Linked DNA regions of Cricetulus griseus. The protein of the gene in region 1 interacts with the protein of each later gene in a pairwise test. Links are inferred from orthologs where the notes say so. Each region holds a gene or a part of one and is shown on either strand. Other genes may lie near its edges.

Region 1 (3,812 bases):
CAGTAATAGCTTGAATCTCTCTGCCCACGAGGCCTCTGAAACAAGTGGAAATCATTCATAACCCATAGAATGCCAACAGCCTGCTGAGAGCAAGATTATCAAAGAGTCATCCCACCCCCATCTGTTCCTGCTTCCTTTAAAGATGGGCACTGTCATTGCAGCTACAAGTTTGTCTTTGAGGAGATACCAGTTTACTGAGTTGTAGCCAAATGGCAACTTACAGACAATGAACATGCTAGGGGACACTGCATTCATTTTCCTTCAGTATTTTTAATAGGTTCCCACCCCCAAATATGTTAAATGCATCCGAATTTCTAAGAGTTTATCTTTACTAAGCCCGGAGGGGCAGGAGGTATTATCAGCCATACTCACAATTTTGTTTTTTTCCTGGGTCCCAGATCCTGGTGCCCGTTCTCTTTGTGCTGGCACAGGGGTTTTAGGCTGCGACCATCCTGTTGGGCTCAGGTTGTTGGGGCTGCTGGACAGGGCTGAAGGTGAGGCTTAATAGACAAGACAAACAGAATCCGAACGTAGATAAGCCAACAAAAGATCACAGCATAGAGAGAAAAAGCCCATTACTGATCATTAAATGGGGTAAAGTACCTGATTCACTGTGACTTCGAATTGCATCCTGAAACAGAAAACAAAAGCTAATCAGATACACTAGAAAAGGCTCTTTCTCTTGGGGGTGGGAGGGAAGGTTGTAGGAACAAAGTAATTACTAACCCTCTAAAATATAAAGTATACTTCCATACTCCTAATTTCCTGGTTTACCTAATGCCCAAAGCAATTTTTTTAAAGAATGATTTCTATTAAATCCTACATGACGTGAGTCTAACTTTTCATGGAAACCACATCATTTCTCAGAAACAAACCTTCAGCAAAGGCTGGCATCTCCCCCACAGACTCAGGATCCTGTTCTGCTGAGGTTTAGCCAGAGACAGAGAGACAGAGATCCAGTGACAGGCTCATTTTTACTTTAGTAAGAGTAAAGGACAAATATGGACCAAAGCTGGATTTAACACAGGTGAGTACTACTTAAAGCCTAAGTTACAGGGAACTGAAAAAACATGAACCCCAGAGCCTAAATCCTGTGTGTACATCTTAAAACCCACATGGACAGGAGGGGAGACTCAGTAAGGGTCACAGAGCAGTGAGTGGCAGAAATGGAACCATCACATATGGATCTCAGCTCCATTAGCATGAGATACTACTTCAAACCTTAGTGATGTTCTCAAGCTGGCTACATTTTCTTATGTAACAAACCAAATCTACTAGACACTATAAACACTGTTTGAAAAATGGTTCGGAAACACAGGGACCTACCTCCACCAGACATTGTTTTTAAGATTTTATTTTTGATGTGTATGTGTTAGAATGCAAGTGCCCATGATCCCAAAAGACAGTGTGGGATCCCCTGAAGCTGGAGTTACAGGCAGTTATGGCCTTCCTGACATGGGTGCTTGGACTTGAACTTGGGTCCTCAAGGGCAGCACATACTCTAACTGCCAGAAGAGGATGTTACATCCTCTGGAACTGAAGTCAGAAACAGTTGTGAGCCTGCATGTGGTGCTGGGACCTGAACCAGGGTCCTCTGCAGAACAAATGCTCTTAACTGCTGGGCCATCACTCCAGCCATATTTTTTGGTTTGTTTTTGATACAGGGTCTCATTGTGTAGATCAGAATGGTCCTGAACCTGCCATTCTTCTGCCTCAGCCTTGTTAGTGCTGTGATTATAGGCATGTGCCACCACACCTACCTTTCAAAGATAGCTTTACAAGAGTAAAAGAACCACAAACCAAGCTATTGCTCTCTCTCTCGTCTCTGTCTCTCTCTCTGTCTCTCTGTCTCTCTGTCTCTCTCTCTCTCTCTCTCTCTCTCTCTCTCTCTCTCTCTCTCTCTCTCTCTCTCACACACACACTCACACACACACACACCATTTCAACCAGCTTACCCAAGTATTGTTAACAGCATAGAGTAAAGCCTAATTCTGATTCCCAAACCTGGCCTGTGTAAAACATCCACAGAGATGCTTAAAAATCCAGATCCTTGGGGCTCAGGAGAGGGCTCAGTTGCTGAAGAGCTTGCCATGTGAGCACAGAGTGGCAGCACATGCCTGTGAGCCCTGCACTGGGAAGGTGGGGAAAGGAGGATCCTAGAGGCTCGATGACTGGCCAGCCTAGCCTAACCAAGAAGCTCCAGATTCAATGAAAGACCCTATTTCAAAACACAGAATGGAAAGAAAATTGGGGCAGACACCTGGCATCCTACCTCCACACACCTGCACACACACTACAGATTCTCACTCTACAACTCAAACTAGGTCTGATGATTTGTGTCTGTGAGGGAAAGGTGAAAAAGCCTGCTGTCTGTATAAAGAAGCATGGCAAGTGGGAGAAATATTGGCCATTCAACCAATCTCTTCTGTTATTTTTGGTTTGGTTTGTGTTTTTCTTTTTTGAAACAGGGTTTCTCTGTGTAAGTCTGGCTGTCCTGGAACTCACTTTGTAGACCAGGCTGGCTTTGAACCCTGGAGATCTGCCTGCTTCTTCCTCCCAAGTGCTGCGGTTAAAGGCCTGTGCCACTATGCCTGGCTTATTTTTTCCACCCTTTTCAATGACACATGATTCAACATTTTAGTGTGGATATTGTTTGGCTTACATCAGTTATGTTCTTCTAAAATAGTACTTAAATCTGGGAACACATAAAAATTTATCCTGGGATTATGCTATCCAATTATAGTAATTACCACCAAATAAAATACAAAGAAGGAAAAGGCAAGAGACTTTAAGAAAAACTATCGTGCTATACTCTGGAATATAATTATAATAAAAAAAATTCCCAAAGAGGTCCAGGTGGTGATGTTGCATACTTTAATCCCAGCACTTGGAAGGCAGAAGCAGGTGAATCTGAGTTAGAGGCCAGCCTGTCCATGAAGTGAGTTCTAGGACATCCAGAGGTACACAGAAAAATAACATCAAAAAAGGGGGGGTGGGGAGACAAGAATTAATTTTCTTCTGAGGCACAATTAGGATTAAACACAATACTTGTGTTACTTACATTAGAAATTGGAAATTTTTCACTTTGAATGTATTAACAATTTATATAGGAACAAATTGTGCATGAAAAGAAAATGGCTACTTCATAATTGTATATAAATGTATAGAACCAATCATTATGATAAAGCCCATAGCTTACACAGGCAGGGCAAGTGGTTAAAGGTGATTTGTAGCTCAAGAAAAATTGCACCTAAGATGGCAGGTATCGAGGAACAAATTTTGCAAAGATGAGAAAGCATAGTTATATGGCCATGACTACTGTCTTTTTAATTTGAAACAGGATCTCATTGTGTTGTCTAGGCTGGTACTGAATAAGGTCCTCCAAAGTGGTGGGATTCTAGGTATGTGCTAGAATGTCATACTTTGCAATTGGGTGTTTTTAGGTCATATCAACCAAATGGGTAAAATGTTTTGGTTTCTAATGTCTGAACTCAGTACAGATGCTGAGTTACTATTATCAGTCCATCATTTGTCTTTTGACATAACTGAGTTTTTAAAAACTATTTCAATGCCCTTGCCTCCAAGAATCTACCTTGAGAAATTCACCTAGCAGTAGTAACTTGCATAGTGTTTATTTTACTCATATTCTATAGAAAAGAAAGAAAACATAGCAAAAGTCTGAGTAGAACTGTAAATTAGTGTATCCATTGTCTCACGTGATAGTCTAACATCTGACAGTCTAACCTGTTAAACCCAAGAAGCAAAGGCATGGAGAAAATACCTACTCTTCCCCTCAGACAAAACCGTCTGGA
Region 2 (4,566 bases), on another chromosome or scaffold:
GACGTAGTCCGCGAGTCTCCTCCGTCACGCGGGGACAGTGTAGGGGTGAAAGGTGAAGTGGGCGGGGCTGCTGGAGCGCGCGGTAAGGCCCACCACAGTGCCCTGCGTGCGCGGGGAAAGGGCGGCGGATCAGGAAGTGATGTAAAAAAGGTGCTCCGCTGTGGAGATCCATGGGAATTGAAGTTCAATTCAGTGAAACTAGACTCTACCCCGCCCATTTTCTGAATTGGAGACCCTTGTCATTTTTTTCCCCTCGAAGTCCCAAGGAGGCTTTTTGGGACTGCCCTGGAACTTGCTGCAGACTGTCATCCTGCCTCTGCTTCCCTAGTGCTGGGACTACGGGCGTCCGCCACCACGCCCAGTTTAAATGACTCATTTTAGGGGCACTGGAGATTGAATTTAGACCCTCATACATGCTAGGACGCGCTCCATTATTGAGCATCACCTACAGCTCTCTTTTTATTTTTTATTCTGAGACAGCTCATTCTAAGATGTCCAAGATAGTCTTGGATTTACAATAATCTCTACTAAATCAGACCACAGCGTCCTTACTCAGGCAGTAAAGTCCGAAACCTGAGTCCTCTGACTCGGAACAGAAAAGTGGAGACTCACTTCCCTCCTCCTGGGACTCAGTCCTCCTCTCTGACCCGTTCCTGAGGTCCATAGCGCACCTTATTACACAAGCCTCCGCAATCCTTCCCTCGCGCACTCATGCCCTCGAGCCCGGAATTCCGAGTCCCCAGACTCGGTCCTCCGGCCCCGAGCTCTCAGCTTCCCCAGGACCTAATCTAATAGCACGGAGCCCCTCCCGAAACCCCGTTCTCCCTAGGACCCGGTAATCCAAGTCTCCAACTCCATGCACTCGTAGGAACCAGTTGCCTGAGTCATCAACTGCCTCCTCCAAACCCGAGACCCTGGCTGTAGGGCCTTCTGGCCCCGGACTTCCCGAATAGGATGCGCTGGCTCATGGATTAGGAATGTGGTGATCTCACAGCCCGCCCGTCCGTCCCTGCCCCGTTACCCTGCTGTCCCCCTCCAGGGCCCCAGCTTCCCTCCCAGACTATCTTCCGTTTGGCTGGGACATGGGGAACCGGAAGCCTGAGTCCCTTGTCGAGGCAAGACTCCAGCTTGTAGACCAACGCCGGGGCAGAAAGCTGGCGACGATCCCAGGAAGGAGGCGGAGCTTCTCTTCCGAGACCTGAGCTTCCTAAAAGCGCCCTATATACGGCCCTGAAACCTCGAGCCCCACCTACCAGAAATACCCAGGGGTGGTCCTTAGATAACCACTACCTCTGGTGTCCTCATTTGCATATGTCCGCCCTGCAAGAACTTCTCGCCCTAACATGGGGCTTTATTAACATAGCTCCTCCCAAAGGTGGACTGTCTGAAAGGAGCACGTGGCTGGGCTACGGGTGGGCACTGATCTATATTAGCATATCCCCGCCCCCTTGGAGTTCCGGTCTTTGCCAACTTGTTTCCCCTACTCTTACTTATTAATATAGCTCCTCCCTTTCCCTGGCCTCGCCTTCTCCCGGAGCATCGGGAGACGCGCATCCTGCAGTCCGGAGCTCATGTTTATGCAGTTCTTATTAGCATAACCCACGCCTTGGTTTCTCCTGACTCCCCCCCCAGGCGGTAGCGACAGCGGCGGCAGCGGTGGCGACATGAGCAGCGGGGCGGCGTCCGGGACTGGGCGGGGGCGGCCCCGGGGCGGGGGGCCGGGACCCAGGGACCCCCCGCCCGGCGAGACTCACAAGCTGGTGGTCGTGGGCGGCGGCGGCGTGGGCAAGAGCGCGCTGACCATCCAGTTCATCCAGGTAGTGGGCCCTCACCGGGGAGGGTGTCCCCAAGAACGAGAATTTGAGCCCTTTGGGGGTTCCCTGGAACTCTTAACTTCTCCCAGAGCCATCACTGAGACTCTTCTAAGAGGGTCTCTAATCCTAAAAGATCCCTGCAGATCGCTACTCAAAGTGCCCAAGGCCTCCACCCCCTTCATGCGGAGAGCTTTCTCCTAATACGTCCCGAGGCAGATCACCCTCCCTGAGGTACCTGAGAGTCCTGAGAGCGGACCTGGCCCTGCTTACCCTAAATTCTAAATAATTGCTCCATTCAGATCCTAAGCGTGAGGCCCTGACACCTGAACCTTGCCTGCCCGAAGTCCCAGCTTATTAACCTCTTAACCACCCAAGAGCCCGACTTGGCCCAGCAGCTGTGCTCTGTACTTTTGACATTCCCACAGCTGGAGCCCTAGTCCCTCTATTCAGGGAGCATCTCCCAAACTTTGGAAAATTTTGCCCAGACGTTGGTTCTAGATAGGACTCTGTAACCCCTGCTGAAGATTTCCCCTCAGACCTTAGGAAGATCCTGCCATTCTAGGAAAACACCAATATCTGGCAGTATCTTATTCTGCTAAATGCAGACCCTCACTCTCCCACCCCACCCCAACCCAAGGAAAATCTACCATTTTTCTACTCTAAGATCTTCACTCCACTCCAACTCCCTGCCCTCACCTCTGGAAATCCTGGGTAGCTCCCAGGTCACCTCCAGGTTAAAAACAAAACCAAAAAAAGAAACCTCAGGTTTTCCACAACCTCCAAAGACCAGCTACTTGGAAGATTCTAGGACCCATAAATGCACCACTACATCATAAACCTACCCTCCAAGCGTGCTCCAGGCTGTTCTCACCTTTGAGCATCTCCTATAGTCTCCCCCACACAAACCAAGCCTCATCCTCACCAGGCTCTGCTCCTTCACCCTTCCAGCCCCAGCCCTCAACAAACACCCTCTAGAGAGGAAGCCACCTTCAGTCCCAGCAGCCAAGTTCTGAAAATCCAGCCCAGCCCCGGAAACCTCCACCCAGTTCCCACAGGGAGTCCCCCCCCCCCAACACCATCCCCACACTGGTCAGGGCAACACTAGGAAGGTGAGAGCCCACTCGCTGCAGTAGAGGTTCCTGGGTGACAGACATACACACACGAGGCACCTCCATCAATGCCTGTGAGAAGCCTACAGCGGAAGAAGAGCCCAAATTTGAGCCCTTGGCACTCAGGGCCAAACCCAGAGCTGGCCAGAGGTCTGGCTGGAGGCAGCAGGACCCAGGCAGGAAGGGAGGGGCAGGTTGAGGGTGGGGCAGACTCTTCTAAGCAGCATTGGAACCTAGACCTTCCCCAGGGAGGAGACACTGGCTGCTCACAGAGGAAGGAGTGGAGGAGGGAAGAAGGAAGGGGGAGGAAGGGAAGAAAGAGAGACAGGCAAGATAGGCAGCTGCTTTGGTCAACTAGAGGTCTCAGAACCTGATCATTGACTATCACCAGGCCAAGCGTTAAGTGTTGAGGAGAGAATTCCTGCAAATCAAACACTGTCAGATGTATAGTGTGTTCATCCTTTCTCCAAATGAGGAAACTGAGACTCAGAGAGGGAAAGTGATTTGTTTGGAGTGACTTTGCAGCTGGGAGTGATCATGGCAAAGGAAGATACTTTACACTGAAGAAAGCAGAGGCCCCAAGAGAGAGAACAACGGGATTGGTAACAGGGATCCATGACCTGGGGACAGTCAGTCAGAAAGATGGAATCAGAATAGCCAGGCAGGGCAGAGAGTCAGCGAGATGGAGAGGGAAAGAGATGGGACAGCCAGGCCCAGATAGAGACAGACGACACGGACAGCAGTGGGGAGAGACAGGTACACTGAGACAAGGGGGAGGGATGGGCCCAGAGAACGAGAGGAGACAGAGACCGAGAGAGAGAGAGACCCAGAGTGGGACAGAGACTGAGGGCAAGATCTAGGGACAGGGCTCACAGGCACACACATACACACACACAAAATGCTTTGATGACAGTGACCTCTCTCTGTCCTCCAGTCCTACTTCGTGTCTGACTACGACCCCACCATTGAGGACTCCTACACAAAGATCTGCACTGTGGATGGCATCCCTGCACGGCTGGACAGTGAGGATGGCTGGGCTTGGATGGGAGGCAGATAGCAGGGCTGAGAGAACCTATGAGCATCCCCAGGGCAGCCTAGGACCCACATATTCCTCTCCCTGTCTCACAGTTCTGGACACTGCTGGTCAAGAGGAATTTGGTGCCATGCGGGAGCAGTACATGCGTGCTGGCAACGGCTTCCTGCTGGTGTTTGCAATTAATGACAGGCAGAGGTGAGGGGGAGCACTGGTGCACCGGACTGAGCACACGACAGGTTCCTCCCAGAGGCAGCCTCTCACTACTGGCTTCTCTTGCAGCTTCAATGAGGTGGGCAAGCTATTCACGCAGATCCTCAGAGTCAAGGACCGTGACGATTTCCCCGTTGTGCTAGTTGGGAACAAGGCAGATCTGGAGACACAGCGCCAGGTTTGAGATGTCCCCTTACCTGATGACCCCATTTGGACCTGGGAGGCTCTTGCAGGGAAACCTCTCCTACACTGGGTCTTCTGCACTGAGTCACACCCCCAGCCACTCATTGGGAAATTCTAGGCAGGTGCTTTATCACTGAGTTACTCCCTTAGCACTCACTGGAAGAGTCTAGGCAGAGGTTCCACCACTGCACCACAGTCCCGACCCTTACACTAA

Evidence for each region.
Region 2: the proteins of Raf1 (region 1) and Rras interact in a two-hybrid assay, tested with the Homo sapiens proteins (2 studies listed by BioGRID). The link is inferred for Cricetulus griseus from reciprocal best matches to the Homo sapiens genes RAF1 and RRAS.

The regions. Positions count from the first base shown.
Region 1 is NC_048601.1:29,213,652-29,217,463, reverse strand, and holds part of Raf1 (RAF proto-oncogene serine/threonine-protein kinase), read right to left. Parts: intron 632-3,812; coding exon 604-631; intron 501-603; coding exon 373-500; intron 36-372; coding exon 1-35. UniProt on the Homo sapiens protein: Serine/threonine-protein kinase that acts as a regulatory link between the membrane-associated Ras GTPases and the MAPK/ERK cascade, and this critical regulatory link functions as a switch determining cell fate decisions including proliferation, differentiation, apoptosis, survival and oncogenic transformation.
Region 2 is NC_048599.1:153,902,707-153,907,272, forward strand, and holds the start of Rras (ras-related protein R-Ras), read left to right. Parts: upstream 1-1,624; 5' UTR 1,625-1,664; coding exon 1,665-1,817; intron 1,818-3,502; exon of another isoform or gene 3,503-3,525; intron 3,526-3,857; coding exon 3,858-3,945; intron 3,946-4,051; coding exon 4,052-4,154; intron 4,155-4,238; coding exon 4,239-4,347; intron 4,348-4,566. UniProt on the Homo sapiens protein: GTP-binding protein with GTPase activity, likely involved in the regulation of MAPK signaling pathway and thereby controlling multiple cellular processes. Regulates the organization of the actin cytoskeleton.